Linked DNA regions of Drosophila melanogaster. The protein of the gene in region 1 purifies or fractionates together with the protein of each later gene. This does not show direct contact. Each region holds a gene or a part of one and is shown in the gene's direction. Other genes may lie near its edges. The genes, in order: coil, Fib and Parp1.

The links.
Region 2: the proteins of coil (region 1) and Fib purify together in Drosophila melanogaster (affinity purification with western blotting, with the first as the bait; one study listed by BioGRID). This does not show direct contact.
Region 3: the proteins of coil (region 1) and Parp1 purify together in Drosophila melanogaster (affinity purification with western blotting; one study listed by BioGRID). This does not show direct contact.

The regions. Positions count from the first base shown.
Region 1 is NT_033778.4:8,120,971-8,131,521, reverse strand, and holds coil (coilin), read left to right. Parts: upstream 1-4,279; 5' UTR 4,280-4,322; coding exon 4,323-4,457; intron 4,458-4,512; coding exon 4,513-4,598; intron 4,599-4,652; coding exon 4,653-5,989; intron 5,990-6,048; coding exon 6,049-6,255; intron 6,256-6,312; coding exon 6,313-6,452; 3' UTR 6,453-6,541; downstream 6,542-10,551. Other genes in the region: CG42516 (uncharacterized protein), read left to right, coding at 378-830; Pbp49 (PSEA-binding protein 49kD), read left to right, coding at 894-2,027; Socs44A (suppressor of cytokine signaling at 44A), read right to left, coding at 2,727-3,198, 3,261-3,817; Nup50 (nucleoporin 50kD), read right to left, coding at 6,574-6,912, 6,973-8,102, 8,159-8,384; Asap (ArfGAP with SH3 domain, ankyrin repeat and PH domain), read left to right, coding at 9,137-9,265. UniProt on the Drosophila melanogaster protein: Component of nuclear coiled bodies, also known as Cajal bodies or CBs, which are involved in the modification and assembly of nucleoplasmic snRNPs. Required for Cajal body formation.
Region 2 is NT_033778.4:23,066,375-23,076,534, reverse strand, and holds Fib (fibrillarin), read left to right. Parts: upstream 1-1,809; 5' UTR 1,810-1,940; coding exon 1,941-1,953; intron 1,954-2,071; coding exon 2,072-2,511; intron 2,512-2,566; exon of another isoform or gene 2,567-2,706; intron 2,707-2,892; coding exon 2,893-3,474; 3' UTR 3,475-3,626; downstream 3,627-10,160. Other genes in the region: CG3085 (uncharacterized protein), read right to left, coding at 1-515, 573-1,004, 1,069-1,280; l(2)k09913 (lethal (2) k09913), read right to left, coding at 4,980-5,570, 5,647-5,928, 8,407-8,588, 8,694-8,808; PPO3 (prophenoloxidase 3), read right to left, coding at 9,468-9,698, 9,761-10,160. UniProt on the Drosophila melanogaster protein: S-adenosyl-L-methionine-dependent methyltransferase that has the ability to methylate both RNAs and proteins. Involved in pre-rRNA processing.
Region 3 is NT_033777.3:3,581,337-3,592,134, reverse strand, and holds the start of Parp1 (Poly-(ADP-ribose) polymerase 1), read left to right. Parts: upstream 1-5,080; 5' UTR 5,081-5,155; coding exon 5,156-5,269; intron 5,270-6,624; coding exon 6,625-6,766; intron 6,767-6,821; coding exon 6,822-7,155; intron 7,156-10,798. UniProt on the Drosophila melanogaster protein: Poly-ADP-ribosyltransferase that mediates poly-ADP-ribosylation of proteins and plays a key role in DNA repair.

The DNA.
Region 1 (10,551 bases):
TTTACTAATATTTACAACTATACGAAAACGTACGTAGTTTTTGACACAAATTGAAACAGATTTGTGTTCGCCTCGTTTTTACCGATGACAGTTTTCGCCTCGATAGTTTCGATGGTTTGGTGGTGGGTTTACCTATCGATAACTGCCGGTATTTAAGAAAGCAGTTCTTTGGATGATAAAAATAATAGTATTTTCACACCACAATGCCATTTTAAATTTACCATAGGAAGGAAAGAAGAGGAATGTGCACGCACATTTCTAACAAGGTTTTGTAAATGGGAATCAGACAAATTATTGTTTAAGGAAGTCATATATTGCGAAATAACGCCATCATTCAACCATCAATCAGGGCCCATGCATAACGATAAAAGGAGAACATGAACGATTCCTCCGATTCGGAGTACGAGGACACAGAGTACCTGGTATTTGCGGATTTCAAGAACCACATTCATCCGCACCAGCTGAAGCACGAGGACGCGGCCATTAAGATCATCGGAATCGAGAGTGACACGCCCATGGCCGAGGTAAATGGAAGCATTTATCGGGGACGCTACGAACATTCCGTGGGAACCAACGTGTTCTTTGAGAAGGAAAAAGACAATCTGGCAAGTGATCCGCTTTTTGAGTCAGTGTGTCGCCAGCGGTACCAGTACGTGGACAAATCCACCAAGGTGATATCTTTTGAAAGGGTCTACGTGGACAATTTGCACCAGGAGGTGGAGAAGTCGGCTGAGACTGAAGAGGACGATCAGACCGAGCCAAAGCCAGAATCTCTGAAGCTAAATATAACTTACAAGGAGGCTATTAACAAGTTTGGAGAAGATCATTGAGTGTGGAGAACTGAGTCTAATCCTGAACAAAAAACACTCTTTCAAGACATACCTCTTAGTACCATGGATACCACCTATATTACAACGAATCCAGCTTTAAGCCTGCGAGACTTTCTAGCCGACTATCAAAAGAAAATATCCGGTACTGCAGACGAAGTGCCCTTCTTTCTCCAAAAAAACCCAGTACTTGTCGACGTGTCTGAAAGCTGTTCCCTGGACTTGATCGAGTCCCCAGACGACAGCTCGATTGCAGTCTTCCAGCCCGCCGCAGACAAATGCCGCCCAACCTTTTCTCCGCCGCAGGAGAACCAGCATGTGCCCTCCACTTTTACTGCTCTAAGCCAGCACAAGGACAAGTCCCGTAAGTGTCCCTTTGGCCGCACCCAGTACAGCCACAAACTGAATCCGACGCCGACAGACTCGCCTAACCTGCACATCGATGCTTGCGGCGAACTGGAGCTAACCGTGCGTCTATATCGACCACCGCGGGCCTACCATCGCGGGTTTAAGGTGGAGATTCCCGTTTTCGCCGAGGAGTTCGTATGTCTGGGCAGCAATTATCTGACCGAGCTGCGGGACAAGATCAGCTGCGTTTGCAATGGAAAACGGTTTGTCGACATCAGCGACGATCCAGATGCACCGTTGCCATCCATTGACACAAATCCCGGTTACTTCTTCATCAACGACACATTCTACAACGACCAGCGCAATCCGGACAATCCCGACTATTCCAAGACCGTCTTGCAGTGGGCTGCCAGAGCGAACGGAGTGAACGGAGAAACGCTTAAGGTGGAGAGTATGGAGGGCAAAAGATTCATCGATCTCACTGTCAGCCCCGGATCACCGCTACACTACCTGCACCACGGCAATTGCGAACACCTGTTTGTGATCTCCCAGGTAGAGGTGCTAACGCCACTTAGTAAACGGCCAGATCGCAGCCTGTATCCCTATCCTCACGCCTTCAGTACGTTTAATCGCAGGACTTGCTATATGTGCGGCATTCGCAGCTATAGCTTCATCGTGAACCAGTCCCGGCGACAGCTGCACGATCCCTCCTACCTGTGCCGCAGATGTTTTCTCAGCTTCTTTTACGTGGATGGTGTCAAGCTGGGCCAGTTCAAAGCCTATCGCATGTATGACCATGTAGAGCTGGAGGGCGAAGAGGAGGACATTAAACAGCAAAATCTCCCCTCCTGAATATACATATACATTTGTGTGATTTTTTCTTTATTTGCGAGCTCCTTTGACTGCAAGATCGCTCAAGGAGTTGATTGATATTTTGTTCTTGTAAAATATTCATAGATAGATTTAAATAAAATACATACACGTTGCAACAAGAGTAATTGGCATTGAACGTATTCGATTGCCGTAAAGCTGCCTAAATTCCATGCAATCTAGATTAGCAAAAAGTTAGTGTCCAAGTTAGGAATACAAAAATGCAAACAACGTAAATAGTACGATACATCTGGCTTAGAACTTACGTTAATACATATATGCAGTAGTTCAATGTTTAAAAATTTGCTTAAGGATTTGCACACTGTGGTGCAGAGTATAGACTTGACCAGGACCCATATAAAACAAACCAATAGACTAAATATGGCAAATAACATAATACATTATCCTAGACAAGATACTAGTACTAACCGTACTTAGCAGTACAATACAGTAAAATTCTGTGCACTGGGATTCCGGCGTGCACGTGAAGAGAGACTGTGCGCTTAGTTACTGGGGCGTAGAAATGCATCAACAACATATTGCCAATCCGACCAACAAATATCATTACGAACAACTGCAGGCTGGGATTCCATTCGCCCGGACCTCTTTGGTGTACGCGCTTGCGTTTACTTCAGTGTTAAAGCTTTGACCAGCGGCTTCTCGACGGCGGGCGGCGGTTGCCTAACTCTGGAAGACCAGCTCCCGCTCCACCGACAAGTACTCCAGCATCTGCGCCGGCACTGGCAACTGGGCCAGCTGTTCGCGAGACATCTGGCGCTGCAGAACACGGCGGCATAAGTCCTGCAGCTTGGGCATGTTGGAGTACCGGCTCAACGGGTACTTGAGGATCACTGGAAACGGTGGCTGCATCTCGTTGGGAACCTTCACAAAGCACACAAAGTTGTCGTTGGTGCAGCGGTGCAAGATATCTTCGATCATCTCGACAATGGACTCGTACTTAAGTTCCTCGAAGTGCCAAAAATTGTCGCGATATTCCAGTCGATAATGCAGGGTTACGTTCACAATCCGAAAGCTGAGCGTGAATTGGGATCCGCTGGTTTCCGAGTCGCGGACTAGAAACGACCCAGTCGGCTTGTCACTCAACTGCCGCTGCGAATCGCGCCTGGAGATCTCACCCCAGTACCACACTTGGCTAAAAACAAACAAAGGGCATGAGTCATCGATCGTTGATGGACGGAGAAACACGGCGCTTACTTGAGCATCTCGGAGCAGGCCTTGTACATGATCTGGTTGGGCGAGTGGGCGTCCTCGCGCTCAAGCCATTTCTTCCGGATAAAGCGCAAGTAGTCGTGTGTGAATGGTAGCGTGGGTTCCGGACAGATGGCCGGCGTAAGGAACTCGTAGGTGGCATCAGTAGTTCCGCCGTCGTCGCAGTCGCCCATGGAGTGCCAGTTTCGCAGGGAGCTGAGCCCTTGGCCCACCTTCCTTCGTAGTCTGGCAAACACGTTTCGCTTGTCCTTGTCCCGCCTTCTGCGCAGAGTTCCTGTGCCCGTGCCCCCATTGCTGCAGCTGGCCATGGAAGAGTCCGCTGCCTCAAGGACGCACACTTCGTTGTTGTTGTTCTGCGATCCACTGGTGGAGACGGCGGCGGATGCAGTCACGGCCAGCGCCGAGTCGGACTTCTTGCGCCTGGTCAGCGAGTGGAACCAGCCCTTCTTTTCCTTCTCCCTGTCCCTCGGGGAGTCACCACCGCCAGTGAGCGCCTGGCTCCGCTGGCTGCTCTGGTTTTGACTCTGGTCGCCGTGGCTCATTTTGGAGTGGAATCGGATCGGATCGGAGCTTCCTCGTGGTGGAATTACATCATTGATCTAATTCGGAGCCGTGATCAATGCCTAACTTTATTGATAAGAACTATTTGTTTTCGTTGTACACAAGAACTGTCTTATCGCTATCGGTCGTGCGTAGCTGGTAAATGCTATCGATAACATAGGGGAGTTTAAAAAATTAAATTCTCTGCAAGGCAAAGCTTTAATTTATCCATTATTACAGCCCTCTGCTTTAGGCATTTTTAAAACTAACTTAAATTATTTCAAGTAAAATCTCGTTGACTTAAATATATTGTTTTCCATATTGCAATTTTTTAATATTAATGTAGTTTGTCATTCAAATAAGCTTTATTTTTATAAATCGCTACAAAAAATATGACATTAATTTGACAGAAATTTAAACACATCGATTTAACGATAACGAAATCGAACATACTTCCATCTCTAGCACATTTAAAATCATTTTAATCATAAGAAAACTAAGTCAAAAATGCAACACTCCAGCATGAAGGTGGATCTATCAAACTTTTTCAAGGACGAACGACGAAATTCGTTGGTTTTCATCGATGCAGCATGGAACAACATCAAGGACCTCCAGGACCACATACAAAACCTCTTCAGCTTGGCAAGATTTTTAAGAATCTCTAACTGCTAATTCTAAATAAATTGCATTCAAACAGAAGGACATTAGTCTGCTCACCTCAGATGGATGCTATCTGCCCCCGAGGGAGTCTATCAAAGTGTTGAACTCTGCCGAAGGACTCAAGTAGGTGAGCTTATTTCTTTTTACGATCTACTTGAGCATATTCATCCCTTGCAGAGCCTTTCGGTTTGCCAGCCACGATAGTGATACCTTTGTGAGCCCTGCTCCTGTAAAATCCAGTAAAAAGCGCAAGAATCGATCCGTCGAGGAACAGGTTCACCTAACCGCCTCCACTCCCCTCCGACCTTCAAAGCGCTCCAAGAACCAGAACAACTCAGAATGGATAAATATTGCAGAAAACCCATCTCGTGTGAGAAAGAAGGAGTTGCTAGATATGGCTCCTGGACCTTCTGTACAATCAAAGCTCTTGACAAACAAAGGCACTCCAAAGGCCCCTGAAACTCAGACAGAAGTTTCTAACATGTCAGCGAACATCGAGACAGAGAACAAGGAATCTGCTCCTCAGATTAAAAATAAATCCAAAAACAAGAAACCGACCAAATCGCCCGAGGCATCTGACCAGGTAGAGAATGAACCTGCTCCTAAGAGTATTTCTCGATGCACGCTCAAGGAGGGTAAAATGTCAGAAAGCAAGAATCAAGAGACATCGCCTGACATTCTATCAGAAAAATCTGGTGTGGTAACGAAGGAAAACGAAACTCGAGAGGAGCAACAGGACAAAACACACTTGGAGTCCAACAAAATTCCGGATAAACTATCTCAACTGAAAGCAGGGGACCAAATTGAGAAGAGTCCTGGCATTGCTGCTAGCCTCCTATCGATTTCGTTCCGCTCCCCTCTCTTGGAGATGCCCTTTAATGTTCCGCGCATATTTCAATTTCCCACTAAAAAACAACAAATTGAAATTCTGGAATATAAAAAACTTAAGCCCATCAGTCCTCGTTTTTTGCTGCAGAAAGGAGCTAAGAGTGATGATACGGCTAAACAATTCCCAAGCAATGGGAAGGATTCAACCTTAAAGCCTAAATCCTACGAAATTTTGCACGACGAAGAATTACCAGATGTAAAGGATAAAAAAAATGTTTCAGAAGGTATAAAGAGAGCAGTTGCACCTCTTTGCGAAGACATCATTGAAACATCAACCACTCTTCCGGGGGCCATAGGAGCAGTTGAATCCGCTTATCTGGACAATTCGACTGAAGCTGAGACCACTCTTCCGTCCGAAGCTGAAGCAACTAATCCACTTGAACTTACTGAGTCATTTCTACAGAACAACACATCTATGGAAAAAACACCCAAAGTCGAAAAAATTTTGCCAGATGACGGAAGTGCATCTCCGATTAAAAATAACGTTGATTCGAAGGATGTTAAAACGGTAACAGTGCCCATTTTTGAGGAACAACTAGTATCCGATTCCGACGACGATGTGATGTTGGTAGACGACTCCAATATCGACGTTTCATACGGCGACTCTGATATTGAACCGATTCCAGGTGAGATACGAGGCATTTAAATGGTAGATGTATGCTTATGAGTGCCCTTGACATCTTAGTAGTAGAAAATAGGCAATCTTTGGATATTATAAGGGACCTACTGCGGACTGCAACTCCACTCAATAGCCTGCCGTCCAGGGGCGATACGGTTATATTTAAACTGCTGAAGATTAAGGGAAACGCCAATTCTGGCACAACCGAATTTGTCGCCGGGAGGTGCACTTACGTTAACCGGCGCACCAAAATTGTCACAGTGGAAACAATAAGTAAGCGACTATCAATTTAAATTGTATACCCGAAACTGATCTCGTTAAAATTTTTAGCTTATCCCCCCGAAATCGGTCGCATGTTGCGTCAATATTATATGAGTGGGTTGGACGAGTCTTCTGAGGATGTGCGAACTTTAAGTATTCATCTCAAAGATATGCTTGAAGCCAAAATCATTGTAGCCACAATTGACTGATTATCATTTTTGTGTGTACATTCTTGAGTTCTATTTCCAGGGTTTCGTACATTTATAGCTTTTAAAATACAAACGATTAAACAACATCTATATGTACGAATTCATGTTAGTTGTCTATCCTCTACTTGATGTGCTCCTTGATCTTCTCCAGCAAGTCGTCGGCTTCGTCACCGGTCTTTACGCGTAGCAACAGCGATGTGGCCTTGGAGTCCTCTGGCGTGGGCACGCAGACCATCAGCACATTGTTCTTGCCCATGCGCTGGCAAGGTATACCCTTGCTAAGAATAAGGTTGACCAAGATGTTGCCCAGATTGGTGTCGGCGCGGACTAACAGTTGGATCTTTTCGGAGTCCTTGACAGGTTTCAAGTACAACGTGCCCACGCCACGATCGCCAAAGTCCTTGTCTTTCTTAATGAACACCTTACACCGCTTGGAGTATATAGCGTCATCCTCCACAACCTGTTTGGAGTAGAAGTTATATTATCTTTCCCTTCGAAAAGAAAATTCTTTTATCATCACCTGTTTAAACTCGACTTTTGGGGGCGTATCCTCTTCTTTTTCCTCCTCCGCAGGCGCTGCCGCTGCAGCTGGCGGATGAATGTTTCCGAGAGAGAAGGGCGTGGCACTGTTGGTGAAGGAAAAGCCCTTTGCGCCGTCTCCTGCTCCTCCAGGCGCTTTTCCGAAACCCGCAAACAACGAGGTGCTTGGCTTGTCGTCGTTGTTACTTTTCAGTCCGAAGGAAAAGCCATTGGTCTTCGGTGCCGAGAAGTTAGGCTCATCCTTTTTAGTGGTCGTATCCTTTGCTCCAAAGCTAAAAATGCTGGACTTAGGGGTATCATCGGATTTGGCTTCTCCAGTGGGTTTTGCTGTCAAACTGAAGATACTGGAGGAGGACGGCACTGGCGCAGTGAACGATGCCGTACTGCCGAAGGAGACCAGTGGTGTTGCGGTCGTGGTGGTTGTTCCACCACTGGTTATGGTGCAGTTGGGTTTCTTGGCTAAGGGCGATACGCTGGCGCCTATTGGCGCGCTGGGCTTGCCAAACGTAAACGTAGTAGCCGCTTTTGGTGGCGACGATGCACGGGACACCTTTGCAACTGGTTCTTGAGAACGAGCTTGTGCCGTTTTGGATTTCGTGGAGTTCGTTCTGGCGCTCTCCTCGTCTTGCAGATCCTTTAGATGCTCATCATAGTTCTTAAACACTGGAGTCAGTATGCAGTAGGGACTTTTGCCCATTTGGTCCTGCAGGAATTTTATGACGGACCGATTTAGGTCAGCAACGCTTTCACGGTACTCGGAGGTCTCCATGGTGGATGTGAGGCTAGTGCTGCTGCTGCTGGTTTTGGCCTCGCTACTCTCCTTCTTGGCAGCTGATATGTTGCCAAATATCGAGGTGGTCGGCTTGGCGCCATCGACGGTACTTGTTGATTCCTTGGCCGGCAAAGGAGAGGGGGCCGTGCTGCTGGTGCTGGCGGTGCCGCAAATGCTAGTGCTGACAGGCCGATCGGCCGAACTGGAACTGGAGCTGAACCCGAACGAGAATGCAGACTTTTTTGGCTCGCTGCTAGAGGTCGTGGCTGGTGCCGTCACATTGGCCAGGAAGGAGAAAGGCGAACCCGCGGCTGGGCTCGCAGCCGGCTTGCCGAAACCTAAAAGCAATCGGAGTGAGCAAGTCCCTCAGGTCTGCATGGATTTGATAGCTTACCGGAAAAGCCACTGAACACACTTTTGGGCTCTGCAGTCTTTTCTTCGGCGCCATCCTCTTCAGCGGCGGACGATCCACCGGCAATCTTGCGGCGCGCCTTCTTGATAACGCGTGTCTTTAGCTCCTCTTCGGTGGCCGTGCGGAATGTGCCGCGCTCCTCGGGTTCCTCCTCCAGGTCCCAGTTTTCGTGGTTCAGGTTCGAAGTGGCTTGTCGCTTGCCAGCCATCTTGTTCTACTCTGTATTAAAACTCAAAGCAAATGCCAGTGAAAAAGAAAAAAAAAACCGAATAAAATCCACACCGCGTTGCTGGCGGTCGATAAATGTTATCGCTACCTCAGTTGGGCGACGTAACTGTGAGTCAGCGAAACAGGCCTGCTGCTTTCGATAGCATATCGATAGGGTAACAACAGCGAGACGCCAGCAGCACAAAATCGCAATAAAACAAAAGTATTAAATCACGCCTAAAGTTAGGACGACCATGTCCAGTGCCGCGAGTCCCAGTCACAGTAGCAGTACCAGTCCGAGTGTGTTTCTGATCCTACCATGATTGCCGCGATTCCGGGTACTGCGCACTTCCCTCGCCCAGAGACAAAGTTAATTGTGCATCTCGAGTAGTACGAGCAGTACCAAAAACGCAGAAAACCGAAAAGCGAAAAGCAAAAAGCCAAATTGCATGAGGATGATGAGAACGCCAGTGTGTGGATATATGGATATAGTGCCAGGGAAAGTGCGACGAGCAACAACACAAATCGGGAGTGAACAAAGACGCAGAGACACGTACAGTGCTTAAAGGCGTTATCCTGGTAGTTTCTCAGCTATTTGCCGTCCCGCTCCCACTCCCATTTTGCTCCCGTTCCACGGCCTTGGGCGTGAGCTGGTGTGCGTGCGACTCGCGTGTGTGTGTGTGTGAGTGAGTGTGCGTGTGAGTAAAAGATACGCTGTATATACCAGGACATCGGGATATCCTGAGCAGCAAAATGCCGCCATCCCTGATTGCCGTGTCCGAGTTTGTGGAGGAGACGCGCTCCGATTACAGCTCGCCCACCACCTCCACCTTCGCCTCGAGGATGCCCGACTGCCGCCACACGATTGGCGTCTTGGAAGAGGTAAGTGTGTTGACCAGGCAATTCCTAAGCCATGTTCCTTATGTAGAGGCAGGTAGTCCAAAAAGCCAACAATCTGTGTACCTACAGCCCAAGCAATCCCTAGTTTAAGGTGGGCTATCCTGGTGGGTTTACAGGTGTGTTCTGGGAATCCCAGTCTATATAGTTTTATATTTGAGCTAAACATATAAACAGTCTAGGGGTCACTGAATTTAAAGGCATTTGAACCGCTGAAAAATTGGGTTTACTGTTCAAAAACTAATATCTTCGTAGGCTACGGAGAGTGAGGAATGTGTTATCGTCATTACTTGTTTATTTCAATGATTAAAATTCCGATCCATCTGCGGATAATCTGTAATAATAATCGGTTTTGCAAAACAAAGTTCCTAATTTAATGGAATCTGATCGATGTCGGTGAAAGTGAAAACAGGAGCACGGCTATGTGACCACGCGATACTGCAGCTAACATGGCAGGCGACGCCCCCTGCCAAACGGTGATGATTACTATTTTCCGGGGGGCTGCAGCGGACAGATTTGTAAATTGGCGCGGCGCCAAAATGAGCCACCGCCTGTTATTTTAGTGCGGTCTCTCTCTCCCGGCTCGCGCTCTCTCTCTGTCTGCCCGCAAGGTGGTTTTTCCTCGATTCCACGATTCCACAAAAATAGTACAATGGAAATACAAAGTGCATTCCGGAACGTGCAAGAGCAGATGGAGCTAGGGGCGCAGGGAACTGGGGGCTGGGCACCGAAGTGGGAGTGGCTGCCACATAAGCATGCTGTAATTTCTATATTTACTCAAGGCAGCTGTGATGTCGCCTCCACTTTCATATGTATGTAAGTGCACGGATATAAATCGCCCGCTGATAAAGCTAAGCACACAAAGAGTATTTTACGGCCGGAAAAAGGCGTGTGATAAGAGCAGCGAATCCGAGAACCGCGGCTATTCCCGTACGGGAACACTCAGTCAGCTGGGGATATCGTCCACAGAAAACACAGAACGCCTAAGTGGAAAAGTCATCCATGTTGTCATCCAAAAGACCCTTGAGTGGGCCGGTTGTGCAATATACACATATTGCTCCAATTCCCCAGGCTAATGCAGCGCCCGCCCGGCGAAACAAAATTAGACGATTTATTGGTCGGTCACGTCATGCCCAGTTTTTCCCGGAACTCTGGGCCGCCTTCTTGGACGCCACGTCAAACATTTAATATTTAATTTTGCTGATGGATTTTTGGTGTAGCCCAAGCAGCCCAGTGACCTCCATTCCCCGCCAGTTAAATGAATTTTATTT
Region 2 (10,160 bases), about 15 Mb from region 1:
AGTGCTGCTTGTTCTCCAGATCCACGTCGATTCGCTTGCCGTGCTCCTCCAGCAGACTAAAGTTGGTCTTGCTCTCGTCGATCTTGACCTGCAGTCGGCGTCGTATCTCTCGCAGCTTCTCCACCTCCAAGCAGAGCATGTCGTGCGCCTGGTCCATGCACAGTTCCATGCCCGACCTCTGGGCACGATTCTCCAGGCGTGTCTCGGCCAGCTTCAGTGCATCCGTCTTGTCACGCAGCGCATTCTCCGAGGTGCGGATCTCGCACATGGCCTTCTCCATCTCCTCCTTCATCTTGAGCTGCTGCCACTCCAGTTCGTTTCTGGCCCGCTGCGTCTCGAAGATCCGTTTGCGGATGGTGTGCTCCGCCCGCTCCTGCTGCGACTGCAGCATGTTGCGCGCCTTTTCGCGGCACACGAACAAAGCCTCCCGAATGGCGTACGTGTCGGCCAGCTCATTCTCCGCCAGCAGCTTTATGTTCTTCACGTTCTCCAGCCAGGACTCGTAGGAACAGGAGCTAAGTGATTGGTTAGTTATCCTACTGAGCTACTGGGACATTCCATGTGTGACTTACTTCTTGGGATTTCTCGTGGGATCCGGCTTGTATGAGATATTGGCCGAGTTGCGATCGAGCGCCAGCTGTGAGTTGTCCAGCTGCACCGCCTCCACCTTGAACTCGATCTCCAGGCCGATCTTGAAGCGCACTTCCTCCAGACGATTGAGCTTCTCCCACGCCTTCTGGCATCGATCGGCCAGCAGGCGCTGGTTGTTCTCCAGCACGACCAGTTCGTTCTTGATCTCGGTGTCGGCCTCATCGTAGGTGATCTCCGATCCGAGGCGACCGTCCCTTATGGTCAGGCACTCGGCTATCACGGAAATCGGACCTGCCAACGCCTCCAGCTCCCGTTCCGTGGCATTCTTCTCCTCCTGCAGCATGAATATCTCGCGCTCGATCTTCTCGAAGGACTTGGAAATGATATCCCGCCAGCGATTCAACTCGGAGATGCTGATGTATAAATTACAGATTATTAATCGTGCTGTTAATCTTAATATAAGATATGGACACTCACCGATCGGTCAGAGCCTCATTTGTCTCGTAGTTGGCCCAGTCGCCCTCGATCCGCGTCTCGTTCCTCAAGGATCGGGATGAGTGGCGGATGGCGAAGGCGTCCGACCTCCGGGCATCCGCCACATTCCGCATCTGGTTCACACGGGCATACCAGTCCGTCAGCGAAATGTGCTGGAGCGGCTTCTCCATCGTAACCACCGAGCGGAAGGCCATTATGTTTGCAAAAGTTTAGGTAAAACAGCAGGATTTATGCGTTAACAATTTCAGAAAGTGTGTGCTCCCAACTAGAACTCTCAAAGCGGAATGGAACGTTTTTCTCAAACATCGATTTCAAGTGGCTGTTTGTTTGGTCAACGAACACTAGATCTCCAAGGCACTGGGGTCATTGTCAAGGACTACGGGATTGTAATTATTAATCATATACTTCCATAGTTACATGCATCAAATAAGTAAAATATAATAATGTAGTGGCTCATAAAAATTAAATTAATTTAATAAATCAATCAATAATTTAATTGATCAATCAATTTTTGAATTGAATACAAAAAAAAAAGAATTACATTATTTGCAAGATATCCAAGAATAAAATGTACAGTTTTTCAACCTTTGTACCACTATGCACAATTGCCTCTCCGCCTGGTGTTGAACTTAGCTACAGTCCCAGCCAAGTTTCCCACCTAACACACACACTAACATCATTCTCTTGGTATTTTCGCCTTTGTACTTCTGTATATTATCACTAAAATCACTGCTGCGGCCACACTCCGGCACACACGTGTTTTTCTTTTCAAGCGTTTTGGTTGCCGCGTGTTGACGGACTCAATCACATTTCGTCGAAAGTTGTATTAAAAAGTGCAAGTACAGCAACATAAAATGGGCAAACCAGGTGCGTAAAATCACGCTCTAACGATACAAATCGAAGCAGGCGTCGCCTTTGCTTTTGATAGTCTCCAACTTAACCTCTGAGTCAACCGAAATTCAAATGCGGATCTTTTCTATTGCAGGATTCAGTCCACGCGGTGGTGGCGGCGGCGGCGGAGGAGGAGGAGGTGGATTCCGTGGGCGTGGTGGCGGCGGCGGCGGAGGAGGCGGTGGATTTGGAGGCGGCCGTGGACGCGGTGGCGGCGGCGATCGCGGTGGCCGTGGAGGATTCGGTGGTGGCCGTGGAGGAGGTGGTCGCGGTGGTGGTGGCGGCGGCGGCCGTGGTGCCTTCGGAGGACGTGGCGGCGGCGGTGGTCGCGGTGGCGGCGGCCGTGGAGGCGGTGGTCGCGGCGGAGGAGGACGTGGTGGTGGTGCTGGCGGCTTCAAGGGCGGCAAGACCGTCACCATCGAGCCGCATCGTCACGAGGGAGTGTTCATTGCGCGCGGCAAGGAGGACGCTCTGGTCACCAGGAACTTTGTACCTGGATCCGAAGTCTACGGCGAGAAGCGCATCTCCGTTGAGGTTTGTTGTTCTCATCTTTATTCACTTACCTTCCCTATTCCTAGCTTATGATGAGGTTGTGCAGGGGTACAGAACATGGCATCATGTGGCCATGAGCATCCTTGGCGGTCACCTGTGGCTGTGTGCACTTCAGGTGCACGTGAAGCAGTCGCGGAGCTCCAAGGGCTGCTTAGAATAATGCACAACTGAGGCGAATTCCTATCTATCTACCCTTCTATCCCAAAACAAACAGAACCCAAACAAGTCCACCATCTTGAAAAGTGATTTGAAGCTACCTGAACAATCCAAACAACTCTGTATTTCACTCAACTTACTTACTTCTTGCTTTCTGCTATAATTTTTAAGAAAGAGCAATGGATTTAAATCTGTTCTTCTTTGCAGACCAATGGCGAGAAGATTGAGTACCGCGTGTGGAATCCCTTCCGCTCCAAGCTGGCTGCCGCCGTTCTGGGTGGCGTCGAGCAGATTCACATGCCGCCGGGCTCGAAGGTTCTCTACCTGGGCGCCGCCTCCGGAACGACAGTCTCGCATGTGTCCGATGTGGTGGGACCCGAGGGCCTGGTCTACGCCGTGGAGTTCTCACACCGATCCGGTCGCGATCTGATCAACGTGGCCAAGAAGCGCACCAACATCATACCCATCATCGAGGACGCTCGCCATCCACACAAGTACCGCATGCTGGTGGGCATGGTGGACACCATCTTCGCCGACGTTGCCCAGCCGGATCAGGGCCGCATTGTGGCGCTGAATGCCCAGCACTTCCTGAAGAACGGCGGACACTTTGTCATCTCGATCAAGGCCTCCTGCATCGACTCGACGGCGCAGCCCGAAGCGGTATTCGCTGCCGAGGTGAAGAAGATGCAGGCGGACAAGCTGAAGCCCCAAGAGCAGCTCACGCTGGAGCCCTACGAGCGAGACCACGCCGTTGTCGTTGGCGTCTACCGACCACCGCCCAAGCAGTAAGAAGTCGTTTTCTGCTGGGTTTAGTTTTAAGGCTATTGTACTAATACAGACGAGTTGTATTAAGTTTCTTTTAAATATAAAACCGTAGTTATAAAGATAAATCAAAATGCACATTATTTTTGTAGCAGACGTACAAAATATACACAAAAACCAAATGCCAGTGTAACAATATGGAGTTCCTATGAAAGATGAAGATCTTTAAAGTCAATCTTTGTACAAACGTGGTTTTTCTGAGGGGTATTGCGGAAAATGGTTGGGCAAGGCTGGTATACACTAGTTTGTTTTCATCTTCATCACAGAAAGTATAATGCTTAACAATGAAATGTCAAAGAAATATTAAGGTCAGCTATTAGTACCCTCTGCAAATTCACAATAAATAAAAAATAAAAAAAGTTCTGCGCTGCGGACAGGATTCGAACCTGCGCGGGTAGAACCCAATGGATTTCAAGTCCATCTCCTTAACCACTCGGACACCGCAACTGTGTCGCCCCGGTGGCAAAGTTCCTATTTGGTATGAAGCATAGATTTCAGCACCCCCCTCACCTATCTTCGCCAGGTATGACGCACCATTTATACAGACACGAACCAAGAACTATTCACGGGGTGGTGTCTCGGCTTAAGCCATTCTTAATGAAAATTGGAGTTTCGTTCACGTGGGGCTAATGAATCCATAAAGATTATTAGCTTAATACATAAATAAATAAAATAATGTAGCAATACATTATTTTTTAGTTCGCTCTCACTTAAGCTAATAGTTTACATATAGAAGTATGAGCACATGTCATGAAGAGCAGCTATCAATTAAACTAAAACTTGTGGTATTGAAGAAATTGAACTGCATATTTCTGCATTCAAATATCTAGTGATTTACTGTCATCGCTTTGCAGAAATTCAGATGCTTATCAGCATAGAATTATGCAGGGAGAGATATCAGTGACAAATGGAGCGGACTTCAATAAGGCTGCGGTGTCCGAGTGGTTAAGGAGATGGACTTGAAATCCATTGGGTTCTACCCGCACAGGTTCAAGTCCTGTCCGCAGCGATAGTGTAGTTGTAACACGTTTTTTTTTTGTCGAACCAATTTTAACCCGAGATATTTTTTCAGACCTTTTAAGAATCTTTCATCGCATATATCTTGTGAAAATACTTGTTTAACCAGCACATACTTGATTGAAACACTCATTTAATGTGTTCGTATCATTTAAATTACTTTATTTAGCTGTTTTGCAGCGATCTCAAAATATATGTAACAATATAGAGGCGTAGTGCATTCTTCTCTCGGTTGATGAAATACGACTTTAAGCTTAGCCTAGGAATTTCCCGTGCGGGCTTTTGAAGATTCTGCCTCGCGAGAGACACACAGATCATAATCATTCAAAGAGGACATTGGTTTTACATTGCTCGTTAATCTTTAGGTCTTAGCAACTAGGGTAAAATCATAATCGCATTGATTCTTGAATAAATGTATATCACTGAACTGATCAGCCGCTCCTCGTTAGAGACACCTACAACTTGGCGCGCTTCGGCACGCCGATGGCCTCCAAGACACCGCAGGTCTCCAGATGCTGGAACAGCGTCTGCAGGTACTCCTCGCGATGCCGTATATAGTGGGCGGCGTGCTGGGACCGCTCCCAGCACTTGAAGGTAACCTTGATGTTCGCACGCTCCCAGTCCTCGCGAACGGACTGGTTGGAGGACGGCGGACCGATGGGATCGTTGTCGGACACGAAGAACAGCGCCGGGGCCTTGAGCAGCGTGGAGTGGAACATCTGGCTGGAGCGCATGTAGTGGATGGTGGCCTGGTTGTGGAATGTCTTCAGGTGGTACAGCGTATAGTTGCGCAGGGCGCTCTGCATTCGCTCGTTCCTCGGGAAGATCGACTTGGGCACGCCCACCGGGATCTCGGTGATGTCGGCGGCGCTGTCCCACACCTGGCACACGAAGCGGTCCAGAATGCTACCATAGCGATCCATGTCGCGCGACATCTGCAGCATGATCTCGCCCAGCTGGTAGGCGCCCACGGAGAAGCCATGCATCACAATGGGTTCGTACGACTTGTTGTTCTCCAGGAATCGAATAGTCTCGGCGGCCACCACCTGGTCAGCAGGAAATGGATGCATTAGTGTTTGAATGACTCAACTTGGAATGTAAACTTTGAAGGGCGGCTATTACCTGGGATCCTTTGACCGGCCAGAGTAGCTGCCACGGCGTAATGTGCACCACCACCACATCGAATCCCATCTCAGTGTAGATCTGGGCATACTTCTTCAGATGCTTCTGCTTGGCCATCAGCCAGGCCATCATGAGAACCAGTGGGTTGCCAGTGGGCTTCTTGAAGGCCAGCGTCTTGGGATCCACCTCAACTTGGGTCTTGGTGCTGGTGTACAGGGTCATGTTCTTGGTAATATCCTGCGAGGATAAGTACCGGCGATTGTTCGACGGCGCCATGGCACTCTGAGTTCGGGAGAAACGGGCTATTAGTCATGTTCGGGCACAGCTGATGCGGGATGGTTAGTGCGTTGGGTGGGTAAAATGAAACTTTAGAAACAACAAACAAGTTGGAGTGCAAGGCATACGTTTAGAATTCAATAACTAAGCAAATATGCATACGATTTCGATTCTCTCCGCTCTTCAAATGTGCGACCAAGCGATTACACCTAGGCTATTCCATGAACTAATCGCCCTGCGAACCAAAGTTTGGATAGGTCCAGTCACTAACTGAGCAGCTAACTGATAAGATATGAAAGCTTAAGTGGTTAATATGGTCCGATCGGCTGCAGATTAGCGGGGGCACCCAAATCCATGCAAATTAGGGGGAATACTTATATTAAGTATTTTAGCACTGATTTATCCTCGGCAACAGCTGCTGACCTTGAAACTCGCTCAACACGTTACAATCATGAACAGCTGTTTGTGATAAGATAAGCCCAGGTGTGTGTGCATTTGGTTATTTCATGGAATCATGTTACCGCGATTGATATTCAATTACTACGATCACTTTTCGAACTCTCAAACACTGTGATTTATAAGGAAATCAAAAGACTAGACTATTTTCATACCGTTTTCAGTGGCGAGTTATCAGAAGTTGCTTGTAGCAAGCACGAAGGCAAGTGACCAAATGAAGGAGGTGCAAAGGTTTTAGGTTCTTTTCCCCCATTTCAGCAAGGCTAAGCCGACTGATAGCATTATAAGTTCGAAGATAGCCCCGCAAAGTCTGACGATAAGCAGTTGCAATTTAGATTAGTGAAACATTATTGTGACCTAACAGTTTCCGCACTATTGAGTTAAATGAGGCTCATTATAATTGAGACAAATCGTGACTTAATGCTGGAGCACACTTTCACTTTGGCTTGACACTTTGAACTTGACCGACGACCCCAAATTGTATGGCCACTCACACGTTTCGCCCGATGATAGATCTTCAGCAGTATAATTGCCAATATGACCAGTAATGTTATTTCAATTAGGAAGTCCATATCGAAGATAAAACTAAGCAGGTGCAACGACTTTGACCGACTGACTGATCCACATTATATAGCATATAGTCCAGCGATCCAGTGGAACGATCACGGATAGTTGAGCGGAATTGAGGCGAGCTTACATTCCCAATCCCCATGGAAGGTACATAGTTATTTCAGCTGATGTGTGTGTGTGTATAGGGAGGAATATGTTTTTTCTACTCTTTGCGGCATTGGTTTAAATTACATTGCGGCACTGGAAGCCTCAGTCCCATTTGCGAAAGGTGAACTCTTAGTCTCGACTAAAAGATACCATGTGAAATTTAACTTAACAGGATTCTTTTTATATTAAGCAGTATTCTGCCCTAATTTGTTGATAGCTAACACTAACCTTTATAGATGAGTGTATAGTGACTATCTTTGAATCCGAAATACCCAGACTTAAGTTTTAACTTGGGTATCAACTTGCCGCCTAAAAATAAACACAGAACACGAACATTTGGCGGATCGAGCGAAAGCTTGGCATTGGGGCGCCATTATGATTTGAATCGTGAAAAAAGCTGTGCCCCAGCTCAATTGAGCTTGCTGAATGCGAGGGTGGATCCAGAAGTGTGCCCCAGGATAAGGGCAGTAGTTCAATGGAACTGGAATATTGATGACATAAATTAATAATATCGTTAATTGTATGGTTAGTTCAAGCGGTTAATGAGCCTTCACTAATTGCAAAACAACGATTAGAATATGTGCATATGTTTACAAATATATACAAAGTAAGCTAAGCTTATCTGTACAAATCACCATTGCAGAGGAAGCGAGGTTGGGAGAGATTGGAAACCGAAATCATTTGCCGGGTACAAAGTGCAGGGACTACAGTTTACTCAAGCATGCAAATTTCCAAAGTCACCAACTATAAAGTGCTTAAAATGAAGAAGCGAATTGGAGGTAATTAAAGGTTCAACCGCAGATCAACAACAGATGTTCAATACAAGCTGCTCTACAGCTCATTAGCGTATACCCTGCAATTTATGGCTCATCCACGTATGATATCTGATCTATGCATCGAAGCTATTGTCATTTTTTTTAAGCTTTTTAAGCTGTAAAACTATTTTCTAATGCTAACTACGTTGACCGCGTCATGGACAACTACATTTAATCTTAGGCGGTTCAGGTTTATCTTATCCTTTTGTAAAGTACATATATATTTTCATAACTACTTGCGTCGTGGAGATAATTTTGCTTTAGAATAAGTAACTAAAGAAATAATGTCTTAATGTGAAGATAGAGCGGATTCTAAGAGTATCTGAACCATAAGATCAAAGTTCGCAATTTTGATTAATCATACGAGTAAGTAATGCAACAACTGAAGAGATAAGTTTTAAGAGTCAAAATTTGGAGTGCATCCTAGTGGAAATCTAGTCGCTGGAATCCACGTTACCAGAATCGATGGAGGACCAGAACCAATCAATATGCTTACATTTGGAGCCGGCTGCTGCTGCTGCTGGTGGCCCGTCTGCAGGCTCGAGAAGTTCCGCATCAGCGGGGGCTGGATGTATCCGGTCTGGGGAATCCGCTGGAGCAGTCCCTGCGTCTGGCAGCCCCCGAAGAAGCTGTCCGCGTAGGCATTCTCGTACGGCACGGCTGCCCGGCTATTTTGCGCTACTCGCGTGCGTTGGTATATTGGGAGTGGCGATGGCGGTGGGGATGGTGGGCAATGCAAAAGTTATAAATAAGTCGGTGAGATGCGGGAGGACAGGGATTTACCACCGAATGATAGGCCCACGGCTAGAGTTGCGGCTGTCCGGCCGGCGAAGGGCAGACTCATCGATTTTCTGGCCGCCGTTGCGTAAAATGCAGTGCGAAAAAAGTGCGCAGCCATTGTGATGCGAATGCGGATGCGGAAAATTGCAGAAAACACTTTCACGGGCGGGCGGGCGAATCAGAATACTTTCACACAAGCGCTTTGGACACAGACTGAAAAATGATTGGCAGTGGTTTCTTGCTTTTTCTCCTCTCATTTGCGTACTGCACACACAGACTCACACAGGCACACACGCCCGAATGCACGCACACAGGCACAGGCCAATGCACACGGACTGAACTTTGTACCCAGTGCAGACGAGTCTCAATTTGTATTGTCAAATGGCCAGAATGCTAAATTGATCAAATTGAGATTCTGGGCTCGAATCTTGCTCCCAGGCGGTGCGTGTGTGCGTGAGTGTCTGTGCGGCGTATCTGTGTGCAACATCGATGATATTTTAATTGGCCAGCAGCTGAATCGGTGGCCGTAACACTTACGCTAACGTCGAGCTCCCGTGTTTCGATTTTTGTTTGCAAATAAATTCAATTCCGCCCCCAACCGCAGCACAGTGTGACCGTTCGCGGGGAGTTCCAACGGTAAACTGGTATTTTGGCATCTGATAGTATTTCATTAATTTATTTGGTATTTTCTACACAGCGAGAAAGCTATAGACCGTTATTAGTGGCTTCTCTTTAAGCCAAAAAATGAAACTGGCCATAACAAGATGCTTCTCTTATTCAGGAGCGAGCTGGTACCTCGCGAAGCTTCTCGGTGCGGTCCTCGTGGGTAATGATGACCTCCACGGCGCACATGTTGGGCGTCAGGAAGTTCTCCAGGATCTCGGAGCCTCGACGCGGCTTGCGATCGAAGGGGAAGCCCATGGACTTGCGATCCGGATAGAGGCGATCGCGCAGGCCGCAGTAGGAAGCGGCGATGCTGCAGCCGCAATCTGCGACCGTCTGGTCAACCTGCACAAGGAAAGAGGATTGGGATCAGGAGGCATTCGCAGTATACTCTAAAGACACCTTACCTTATCCTCTTCGTAGTTGGAAACCATGACGAAGAGCTCGAAGCGCAGACCCTCGGGCCGACCCTTCGGAATCAGCATGTGCTGGGGCCAACCGCAGCCGCACAAGAAGTTCTGCAGCTCCTCCAGCTTGTCCAGGTTGCGGAAGGTGCGCTCGAACGGAATGGTGACACTCGACTCCGTGGAGTTCCGGGTGATCGTATGGCTGCCGGGAGGCATGGTAACCACGAACTTGTCCAGCTCCACCATCATCAGGCGCTGTTGCTCCAGCAGCATGGGTGCATTGCGATCATCCAGCTTGGGCGCCAGGAAGATGCGCACGTAGCCATACCGCGTGGCCTCGCTGGAGTTCTCCACCTTGATGGTGTAGCTGAATTCGTGGTGCTGCAGATGGGTGAACCGA
Region 3 (10,798 bases), on another chromosome or scaffold:
TTTTTGCCTCCTGTAAGCGATCTTGAGGCGTCAGTTTTCTGAATTGTGGGCAATCAAAGATTATGTGGTCTACACCATTGCAGACAGGGCAGCAAGCGACAGGGGTAGTGACGACAAATGAATTTCTAGAATTGTGGATGGCTTTCCTAGGTTTTACAACCTGTGGCATGATTCTAAGTGCAACATTGTTACGTTCGATGTTTTCAACCCTTTGGCATCTTGTCTCCAAAAACTTAACAAATTCATTACATTTTGGAAGCCTTTCAGTGGGAGCAGCATCCTCCCATAATAGATGGGTTTCACGGTCGACTTTTTGGAGAAAACAATAAATACATTCGGATATTTTCAAAGGGGGGACCATGTTGTGAAGTGCCGTAAACGCAGATTTATTTGGTCGGACAGTTCACGCAGCTTTACAGAAGATGAACCCTCTACCTTTGGTAGGTTCATGATCGCCGAAATGTGAGACTCCAAAATCAGCGGCTTATTGTTGTAGCGCTTATCCAACAACTCCAGGGCAGCCGGGTAATTTGCATTAGTAACCTCTAAAGCACCAACGGCAGCCAAAGCGGGACCTCTTAGGCAAGACTTGGGGTGTCATGTCAGCCAATATTAGGTTTTTATCGATGACAGTAGAAAACATCGACATAAAACCTGTGTATTCAGTATAATTTCCACTAAAGGTTGGTAGCTTCAGGTTAGGCACATTCGGTCGTCGAAATAGAGAACTAGAAGGCCACTCAGTTCCTGGATATTGACGCATAGTTGAACAAGCAATCTCTCGCACTTTGCGTCTACTGAGGTCCGTTTTTATCATATACCACATTTCATAGAAATGTCTTTGAACTGGTCACGCACTTCGCTTCCCATTTGATTGAGGTCCAGTTTGGACCTCATTACAAATAGCAATGATGTATGTTTATGCACAAAGTCGGTTCTTTTTTGCACAGCCAAAACGACATGAATTTGGCGGTCGGCAAAGAAGAAACTGCTGCTACGCGTGAATGCTTAGCTGCGTAAGCAAAGAAACAGAAAACGAAACGAGAGCAAGCGAATGCTTGCGATAAACGAAAAGAAGATAGGGCGAAAAGTACAGCCACTTATGTACACACAAAAGTGCACCAAAATTTTTGTTTTTGAGTTCACGATAAAGAAATGTTACCGATCACGTCGGGGTCACCAAATATTGTGGCAGTCCCCGTACCGAACCGATTAAGAGTTAATGTGCATCACAGCAGTACCGGTAAGATCAACACTTAATTTGTGACTGACTTTGCTATGGAGAAGGCAAATGAGCAAGTTGTACAAAACAGTTGCACATAAACAGTTGTGCTCGCTCACTATTAAGAGAGAGGAACATAGCACAAAGGGGAATGCAAAATCTGTTGGTGCACAGAGCAATGTATAAAAGTGATATAATAAAATAACTTATGATTCGCTGCTGCTGGCTGCAGGCTGCATAACCAAACAAAAGACATTAAGGAAATATTAAATCACTAACAAAAGCCTTTAATTATTGCAGATCTAATTGATATCTCCGTATTCATAATTGTACATAACGAACTCTTAATTATTTATATCAAGTACCCTGTAATAACAAAAAGATGTGAAATTTATTTTGCCAGATCCATTCACTAATAACTAATCAGATCGCCAAATGGGAAAATACTTTTTATGAAATATCTAATTTTAAGAACAAACTTTCTAATAACTATGGTATTTTAAGTAAAGATAAAACTTGTTTTACCCGCTTACTAAATGGAGAGAATTAAATTTGCACCAAGATACGAGAAAAAATAAGAATATAGATATCATTCAAGAAGGTGCCATTCTAATAATAGGAAATAATATTGTAAGCAATTCTCATTTAGACGGGTCATATTTAATAACCTTCAACAGCACAACTACAATAAATAATATTTGATACACCAATTTAGAAAACAAATTACTTGAGTACATAACCACTAACCACTTTAAGAATCTGGACTTATCAGATTACATAAAATCCAACAATTCAGAACTTACTCTTGACAACATTAATATTTTAAACAATTACAATTAGAAAATATCAATATCATTTTTATTATTAATTTTAATCATTTTGTATTTGAATGCTACATTAAAAATAAAATTCAAATACGTATATTAATTTGTAACCAAACAAAAATGACAAGAAGCTTTTATCCTAAACACTAAACATTAAAAAAAAAGACGAACTGCAGTAGAAAGATCATATTATTAATATGACCACACCGTCCAACTGAAGAAAGCTGAACGATATCATTTACAGAGCCGCTCAACTGAATGGGTTTGACTACTTGTTTAGGTTTGAACGTTGTAACTTAGTTATATGCAAAGACACTAGAATAACAAGATGCGTAACGGCCATACATTGGTTTGGCACTATGCAGCCACTTTTTAAGTGACGGCCAAAATTACTCTCTTTCCGCTCACTCCCGCTAAGACCGTAAGAAATCTAAAAATATAATTTGCTTGCTTGTGTGAGTAAAAACAAGAGACGAGAACGCGTATAAGTGTGCGTGTTGTGCTAGAAGACGATTTTCGGGCCGAAATCAATTCTGATCGAAGAAACGAATTTACATGGTACATATTAGGGTAGTTTTTGCCAATTTCCTAGCAATATGATAAAATAAATAAATAAATAAATCCGCGGCCCATTTTAGAAAAAGATGATAAAGATGATTTAAATTTTAGAATACAAAAAGATTTAACTCTTTACAATCACGCGGTCAAAAAAAGTGAAGTCAAAAGTGTAAAACATATTCAGTTGAGCCAAAAAATTAAGATTTTTTGTTATGTTTTTGAAAAAAGGATATAAAAACAAATTTAAGAGATCAGAAACTTTGCTATTTAACAAATAACTGATCTATTCATACATACAAATTTATTTAAGTCGGATTGCATATAACAAAGACCCTAGAATAACAAGATGAGTAACGCCATACGATTTTTTGGCACACGATATTTTCGCCGTGGCTCTAGAGGTGGCTCCAGGCTCTCTCGAATTTTTGTTAGAGAGCGAGAGAGCGGAGAGCGCTACAGCGAACCGCTCTTTTCTACGCATACAGTGATAGCAGACAACTTTATGTGTGCACACGTATGCTCATGCATTGTAAATTTGACAAAATATGCCCTTCACCGTAGAAGTTCTTAGACTTTAAATCTATATTATTTTTGATCAATTGGCACCATGCGAAAAATTCTTGTTTTGCATTGCCTTAACGTTATTATTATTTGAAAATAGATTAGAAATAGCCAAATCTATGTACATAATATCACAAAAATAAATTTCAAAAATGACTTTATATAAGAATATTTGTCATTAGAGTATTCATCTTGCGGCGTGTGAAAAATTAATAAGGCAATGATTGTTGAGTGCTTGTGTCCGCACTTCGTGCCTCAAGATATGAACAAAGCAAAGACACTAGAATAATTCTAGTGTCTTTGATGTGACTTTTGCAATAAACAGTTTTCATATTTTTATTTATTTTACAAATTTGTATTTTCTACTTCGTATTATTTTTATGAAATATTTATTTCTCGATGTAATGTATTCCTTTTGTTATAAGTAGTTATAATAATTTATATTTTACTTCCTTTAATTATTTAGCATACTTATTAAGTCATTTGACTTAATATGATTTATATATGATAATGATCCATTTTTATTATTTAAAATGCACATTAGATTCAGTTGTTTTTCAGTATGTTATTTAAATAACTGACGACTGAAAAATCGAGCAGTATATAATAAAAAACAATAGTTAGAAAAATAACTTAATTGGGGAATGTGGAAATGTTTTAATGTTAAACATTAAAATATTTCAAGTCGACTCGAAGGTCATATACGTAAATATAAGACCCCATTACAATTGTAATGGCCTCCCCGTGGTGTTCCCTGGGTACCGACTATTACACATATTACACATAAATAATTATCAACATAAATATAAATATGTAAACGGTAGCTAATTCGAGCGGCGATTTTAACAAACGAATTTAAAAAGCTTTAAAATTAAAAAATTTTAAAATTAAAATTAAAATTTTAAAATTATAATAAGAAGGGCGCGAATTTTTAAAAATTATTTTATTTCATCATATTGCTACGAAATTGGCAAAAAACTACCCTAATATGTACAATGTAAATTCATTTCTTTGATCAGAATTGATTTCGGCCCGAAAATCGTCTTCTAGCACAACACGCACACATATACGCGTTCTCGTCTCTTGTTTTTACTCACACAAGCAAGCAAATTCTATTTTTAGATTTCTTATGTTCTCAGCGTGAGCGAGCGGAAAGAGAGCAATTTTGGCCGTCACCAAAAAAGTGGCTGCATAGTGCCAAACCAATGTATGGCCGTTACGCATCTTGTTATTCTAGTGTCTTTGCCAAAACTAATGGTTGGGGGAGTGGCATATCCATAAGTCCATTAGACTTAAGCACATGCCTACACACAGCTTCTTATTATAGAAGAACAACACTAGTAAACCAAAAGCAATCCTGACTGGAATAAGCCCAAAGTCGTATACAGGATGATAATCGAAAACTTTATTTTAAGATTTCAATAAACAAAGTCGTGAGGATCTAAGAGCGTTTGTATCCAATAGCGAATGAACTCGAGTCCAAGAGAAATGCAAAGACAAATCAATGTTAGTAACTCCAAAGCTCTGTTTATTTCATTGGAACTCCAAAATCCAAAGCCCATATTTATAAAGCTCGAGGCCGAGGATTCAAAGTCAATCAATCCATATCAATTTGTTGAGTTCAGTTTCAGACCTTAATTAAAACGGTCGGTGTTATTATTCAGTAAGAACATAATTACCATTCCTTCTTAATCTTCCAAATGACCACCCTTTCTTGTTAAACTAGCTGGTGTATAATCGACACAGAATTTTAATGTTGCCGAATTCAATTACAAAGTTATATAGTTAACAGTCGTACGTCTTATAACAGAATACAGCTTAATTACGGAATGAGCTCCTGTACAAGGTCTTTAGAATCATTGGAAATCGTCTATAATAATATTTTTGTAGTCTTTAACATCGATATACAATTTTATTATTTAGGAAAATATCGCCAACATAATTCGATAAATAATAAATGTCTTGAAATTGACTTCCTTTAAAGTGTAATATGGATATTGAATTACCTTATCTTGCTGAGTATGCAAGAACTGGACGAGCCACTTGCAAAGGATGTAAAAGTACTATATCTAAAGATACTCTTCGGATTGCTGTCATGGTTCAAGTAAGTTACTATGTGGTACATACATACGTAAGTAGTCTGCAGATAAAAGATTGAAAATGAATTTGATTAAACTGATACTGATTTACGAAACTTTAAAAGATCCCGATTCGCCGTTAGTCCCATCGGTCGTCGACAGCTGCGGCATGTAATTGCCAGCGGTAAATCGTGTAGCGGTGGGGGCACAAATACTTGCGTCGCTCACCCACAGGGTGCCAGTGGCTTGCTGCAGTTCTCTGGCCCAGTGTGCGTGTGGCAATGCGTGCGGCCGAAGAAACGAAAACAGGTCCTCAAACATCACGTGAAATCGAAACTAGCGGGAACGACAGCGGGACTGACATTGGTACTGACAGTGGGACCGACATTGGGACCGACAGTGGGTCCGACATTGGGACCGACAGTGGGACCGACAGCGGGACTGACGGTGAGACCGACAGCGGGACTGACGGTGGGACCGACAGTGGGACTGACAGCGGGACCGACAGTGGGACCGACAGCGGGACTGACGTGGGACCGACAGTGGGATTAACAGTGGGACCGACAGCGGGACTGACAGTCGGACCAACAGTGGGACTGACAGTGGGACCGACAGCGGGACCGACAGTGGGACCGACCCTTCATTTCTTCTACCGTCACGCTTCAACCTATAAAAATGTTGCTTGTGAGTCGCTCACCCAAAGGGTTATTTCGCAGCAGGCGAAACACTCGGATATTTTTTATTGCCGAAAGTAGAGTGTCAAAAAACACCCGGGGGTATAGACACCCAGTTGGTGGGTGCGGGTGTACTAAGAGTGCCAGTGGCTTGCTGCAGTTCTGTGGTTGGGGCCGCAAAAATTGTAAGACCAGCTGAATTTTCGCCATGTCCTCACATGGTGATGATCGTTCTGAAACAAACTTTCACAGAGCGAAACATGAATACTAGCTTTTATAGTTTTCGAGATCATAGCTTTCATACAAAAGGACAAGGCCAATCAAGAATACCATGTCCGTCTGTCTGTCCGTATGAACGTCGAGATATCAGGAACTATAAAATCTAGAAGGTTGAGATTTAGCATACAGATTCTAGAGACATAGATGCAGCATGACCCATGTTGCCACGGCAACTCTAACGCCCACAAACCGCACAAAACTGCAACGCCAACCCTTTTGAAAAACGTGTTGATATTTTTTTTTTTCATTTTTATTAGTTCTGTAAATTTCTATCGACTTGCCACGCCCACTTTAAAGCCCTAAAATTGCACAAAACTGCCACGCACACACTTTTGAAAAATCGTTTTATTATTATTTTTTAATTGAAACGGTTACACCAAACGAACGAAAGACAAAGAAACTATTTTATTGTATTTCTTATTTTTTAGTCTGCATTTCATGATGCCAAAGTTCCGAATTGGTTTCATAAAACCTGCTTTTTTAAAAACCAGCGTCCCAGCTCAGTAGGAGACATACAAAACATTGGAAATCTCCGATTTGCCGATCAAAAGGAATTAACGGATCTTGTGGGTTAGTATTTAAAATTGATCTATATCAATTTAAAAACATTTTGAAATGTACTTAGAAAATATACAAGAAGTTATAAGCGCACAATTAGGAAAAAAGCGATCGAAGGCTTTTAACTTAGCATTAAAAGACTTTGGGATTGAATATGCAAAATCTAGTCGATCGACGTGTCGTGGATGTGAACAAAAAATAAACAAGGATCTAGTTCGCTTACGTAAAACTGTTTATGATACTGAAGTTGGTATGAAGTACGGAGGCCAACCTTTGTGGCATCATTTGGAATGCTTCGCCCAATTGCGCTCTGAGCTTGGCTGGTTTGCGTCAGGTGAAGATATGCCAGGATTTCAGAGCTTAGCAGATGATGATCAAGCGAAAGTTAAAAACGCCATACCGTAAGTTAATCTCACATTGAATTTCTATTAACTGTTCTGTAACTGTTCTGCATTGCTATTATTAAGTTATCCCTCTTAAAGAAAATAAGCTTGATTATACTGAAGATTGTAAACTGAAATAGATAACTGTAATTTGATCCACTAAGTATTCTGATCTCTTCTTGGTCATTCCTTAGTTGGGGATGCCCTTCAACTATATAGGTACAATAGTGTATATTCTTTGTTAAAAAATATTTATCAGGTAAAGGCAACATTTCCGGCACTAAAAAAATTAAATAATCGATCCCACCCTAAAAGATAAGACTCGAATTGTCCATGTCCGTATGAACGATGTGATTGTGGGAACTATAAAACTGGGTTGCGATTAAACATGCAGATCCGAGTGAAGCGGGCATATCAAAAGTTTTTTGACAATTGTAGATTGTAGAGGAAATCAACTATAACTTCGCCTGTAGTTTGTCGAAAAGTCAAGTGAATTTAACAATGTTATTTAATATATGTAAGTCGACCTTAATCGATGGGCATTGGTTGTATCGCCGCAGGAAAATAATGTAACTATTTTTCGCTATATTTAGGCTGGGTCGTGATTATTTGAGCGTAAATGTAACAGCTGAGTTAAAATTATACTGGAAAGGTACATACACTAGTGGGCATAAGTATTTAGACACCATTAGCTTGAAACTGCCGGGCTTTTCATAGTACAGTCAAATAAATAAGTAAACTATTGATGATAAAACAAAAAGTGCAATTACAGTTACACACGAAGGGTAAGTTTGGCTGTTTACCTTTTCAATTATCCTTGTGCTTATAAGAAAGCTAGACAGGCAACGATTTGGGCCGTGGCAAAAGTATTTAGACACATTTAATTAGTTCGCATTGATCTGTTGTTCGAAGAATATCAAATTTTCGACTTTTTTTTTAGATCATTTGAACATTTTTTCTTGATAACGTGGGACTGCCTACTTTTATTTCATTCATAAATTTGTTAAACATGGGGAAAACAAAGAAACTGAGCGAATTTATAAAAAATTGAATAATAATTAAGTATAACTCTGGTATTTCGGTACAAATTATCATTGATTTATACAAAATTCCACGGGCAACGGTGCATTACCAAATAAATAAATATAAAAAAACACACACAACCAAAAACGTTGCGCGTAGTGGCCGACCACGTAAAACAACTCAAAAGGGCGATGGTTATATTATACGGAAGTTTAAGCAGAATGTTCTACAAACTCCCCGATCGGTTGCCAAAGAACTAAAAGAAGGAACAGAAATCGATATCAGTGAAGGAACGTCTTAAGGAAGCCGATTTTGGAACATATGTTAGCAGAGTTATACCACAATAACTCTACAAATAAGTTAAAACGCCACGACTTTGCCAAAAAATATGTTGGACAGCCAGCATCATTCTGAAACAATGTTTTGTGGAGCGATGAAAGCTCTTTTGAGTTTCACTGATCAAAAAAATTTTTTTTTGTTAGATTACCGAAACATTATCGTAAAAAAGTGGCACCAGTGTGTCAGTGAATAAATCATTCAGGAAAAAATATATATAGATGTCCTTAATAATCATGCATTGCCCTAAATTGCTTGGAGAGTCCTTCATACTCCAGCAGGAGTATAAGGTCAGCATAAGGTCAAACTGATTACGCAGTTTCTGAAAGATGTTTGCGTAAACACATTGGATTAGCCACCTCAAAGCCCAGACCTCAACATAATAGAAAACCTCTGGTCATATATAAAACAAAAAAAGGCGTGCAAACTTATCTAAAAGTCGCGAAGAAACGATTTTGGAAATTCAAACCTTATGGAAGGATATTTCAATAGATTATATCCACAGCTTGGTACAGTCTGTACCAAAACGTATGCAACAGGTGATGTAAGGGAGGGTATATTTTTTATTAATTTGTCATAATTTTTTAGTTGACTTTTTTTTATTTGAATTAATAATATTTAAATAATTTGTCCAAATACTTATGCCACTGCTAATTTGTAAAAAAGTAATTTTTGTTAAAAAACAATGAGAACAATGAGAAATGGAGAACTTCTCCATTATTTTTTGTTACCTAATTTAACAACGATAGCCGACCTATTTACTAAAATGATTAAACAATAGAAAAGATAGAAAAAAATTGATGGACGGATTTACCAGGTAAACGACAGGGAACTGCAGCCACTAAGATTATACCCTAAAAGCACGACTTTAAAGCACTGCTACCGATTTATCCGGCTGTCCCATTCATTGATTTTATGATCGAGCATTAACACGTAAGCGAATTAGTTGACGTTTGTCGCTGCTTTCTCATTTGCTTGCGACCACCATTATACCGTTATCTTTACTGTTTTAACGTTATGACCGGTTCAGCAGTAGGGCTGTTGTCTGACAACGGGTAGATCCCAAAATATGGCGTCATTGTATGTCACGACCCACGAAGGCCATCGTTAGGGTCAAATTGACCAGGACCATACCATTTGGAGTTATATTTTGCGTTTATTAATGTAGCGAGGTAACACTGTTGCGCTTACAAACAAATATTTAATTGTAAACACAAATTTTGTTTTTCGGTTTCGGATACATTTAAAAAAAGTATAATTTTAATATAGGGCTTATATCTGTGTCAGCGGCGCAAGCAGTAAAAAACTGTGCATAAAAACTGTGCACTATGGGAAATTTAACTTGTTTTGTCGGTATATATTAATATCTCGTAAAATATTTAAGATTGTAAATCCAAATGTAGAATTAGAACGATTAGGACGACTTCTTCTGGCCTAGAGACTCAGATAGCGTGACAATAAAAGGATGTAACGGCGGATCGTCGAGTTCGGTATGAAAGCTTGTGCTCCTTATAAAATAAGTATTCAGAACAAACTGACTTAAAACGTAACATAAAGACGCTTCATAGCGGTCTCTGCCAATACGCTGAGCTTGCCGGCTATATAAAAGCTTCCTGTTAACATACTACAATAACTTGAATGCTCTTGAATGCGCCTTGACACTACAATTCCTCTTATAAATATACAATTAAAATTAGCATGATTATTAATTCTACAATTAATAGCCTGAAAATTAAGCCCTTTAATTCATATTTATTTTCTCTTCTTTCTTTTAATCCCTCCTTAATTTATTATTTTATTCGTTATGGTAAGCGGCAGACAATTTTACTGGATCCCAAACAATACTTGGAATCTTACTTAAATTACTCATCATTGAATACTATGATGAACTATTAATATTTTGTTGTCCTTGTGTAACCGGACGCATTAGTGACTGCTTCAAATGGTTACTTAACCCAAATATCCAAAATTTTCTTTGAATATAATCTGGTGTGATTATATCTGGTGTGAAACCAGATTAATTCCGCCGTGTAATGTTTCCCTATGTGCATTTTTGATTATTAACGATGTTAAATTACACGTATCTAGAATTTCGTATAAAATTTAGTTCTGTAGTTTTGTAATCTACCTTCCACTCTTTGCCCGTCTTTATCTAAAAATGGGTTCAATGCTAATGTTTTCCTTTTAGTATCAATATCTTTTTGGTGCTTTAAACATTGTATCTCTGAACTAAACTGAATTTCCGGCTGCTTGTTATAAATGCATTTGCTACCTTAAGTTCATTTGCTTTAAAATATGTGGG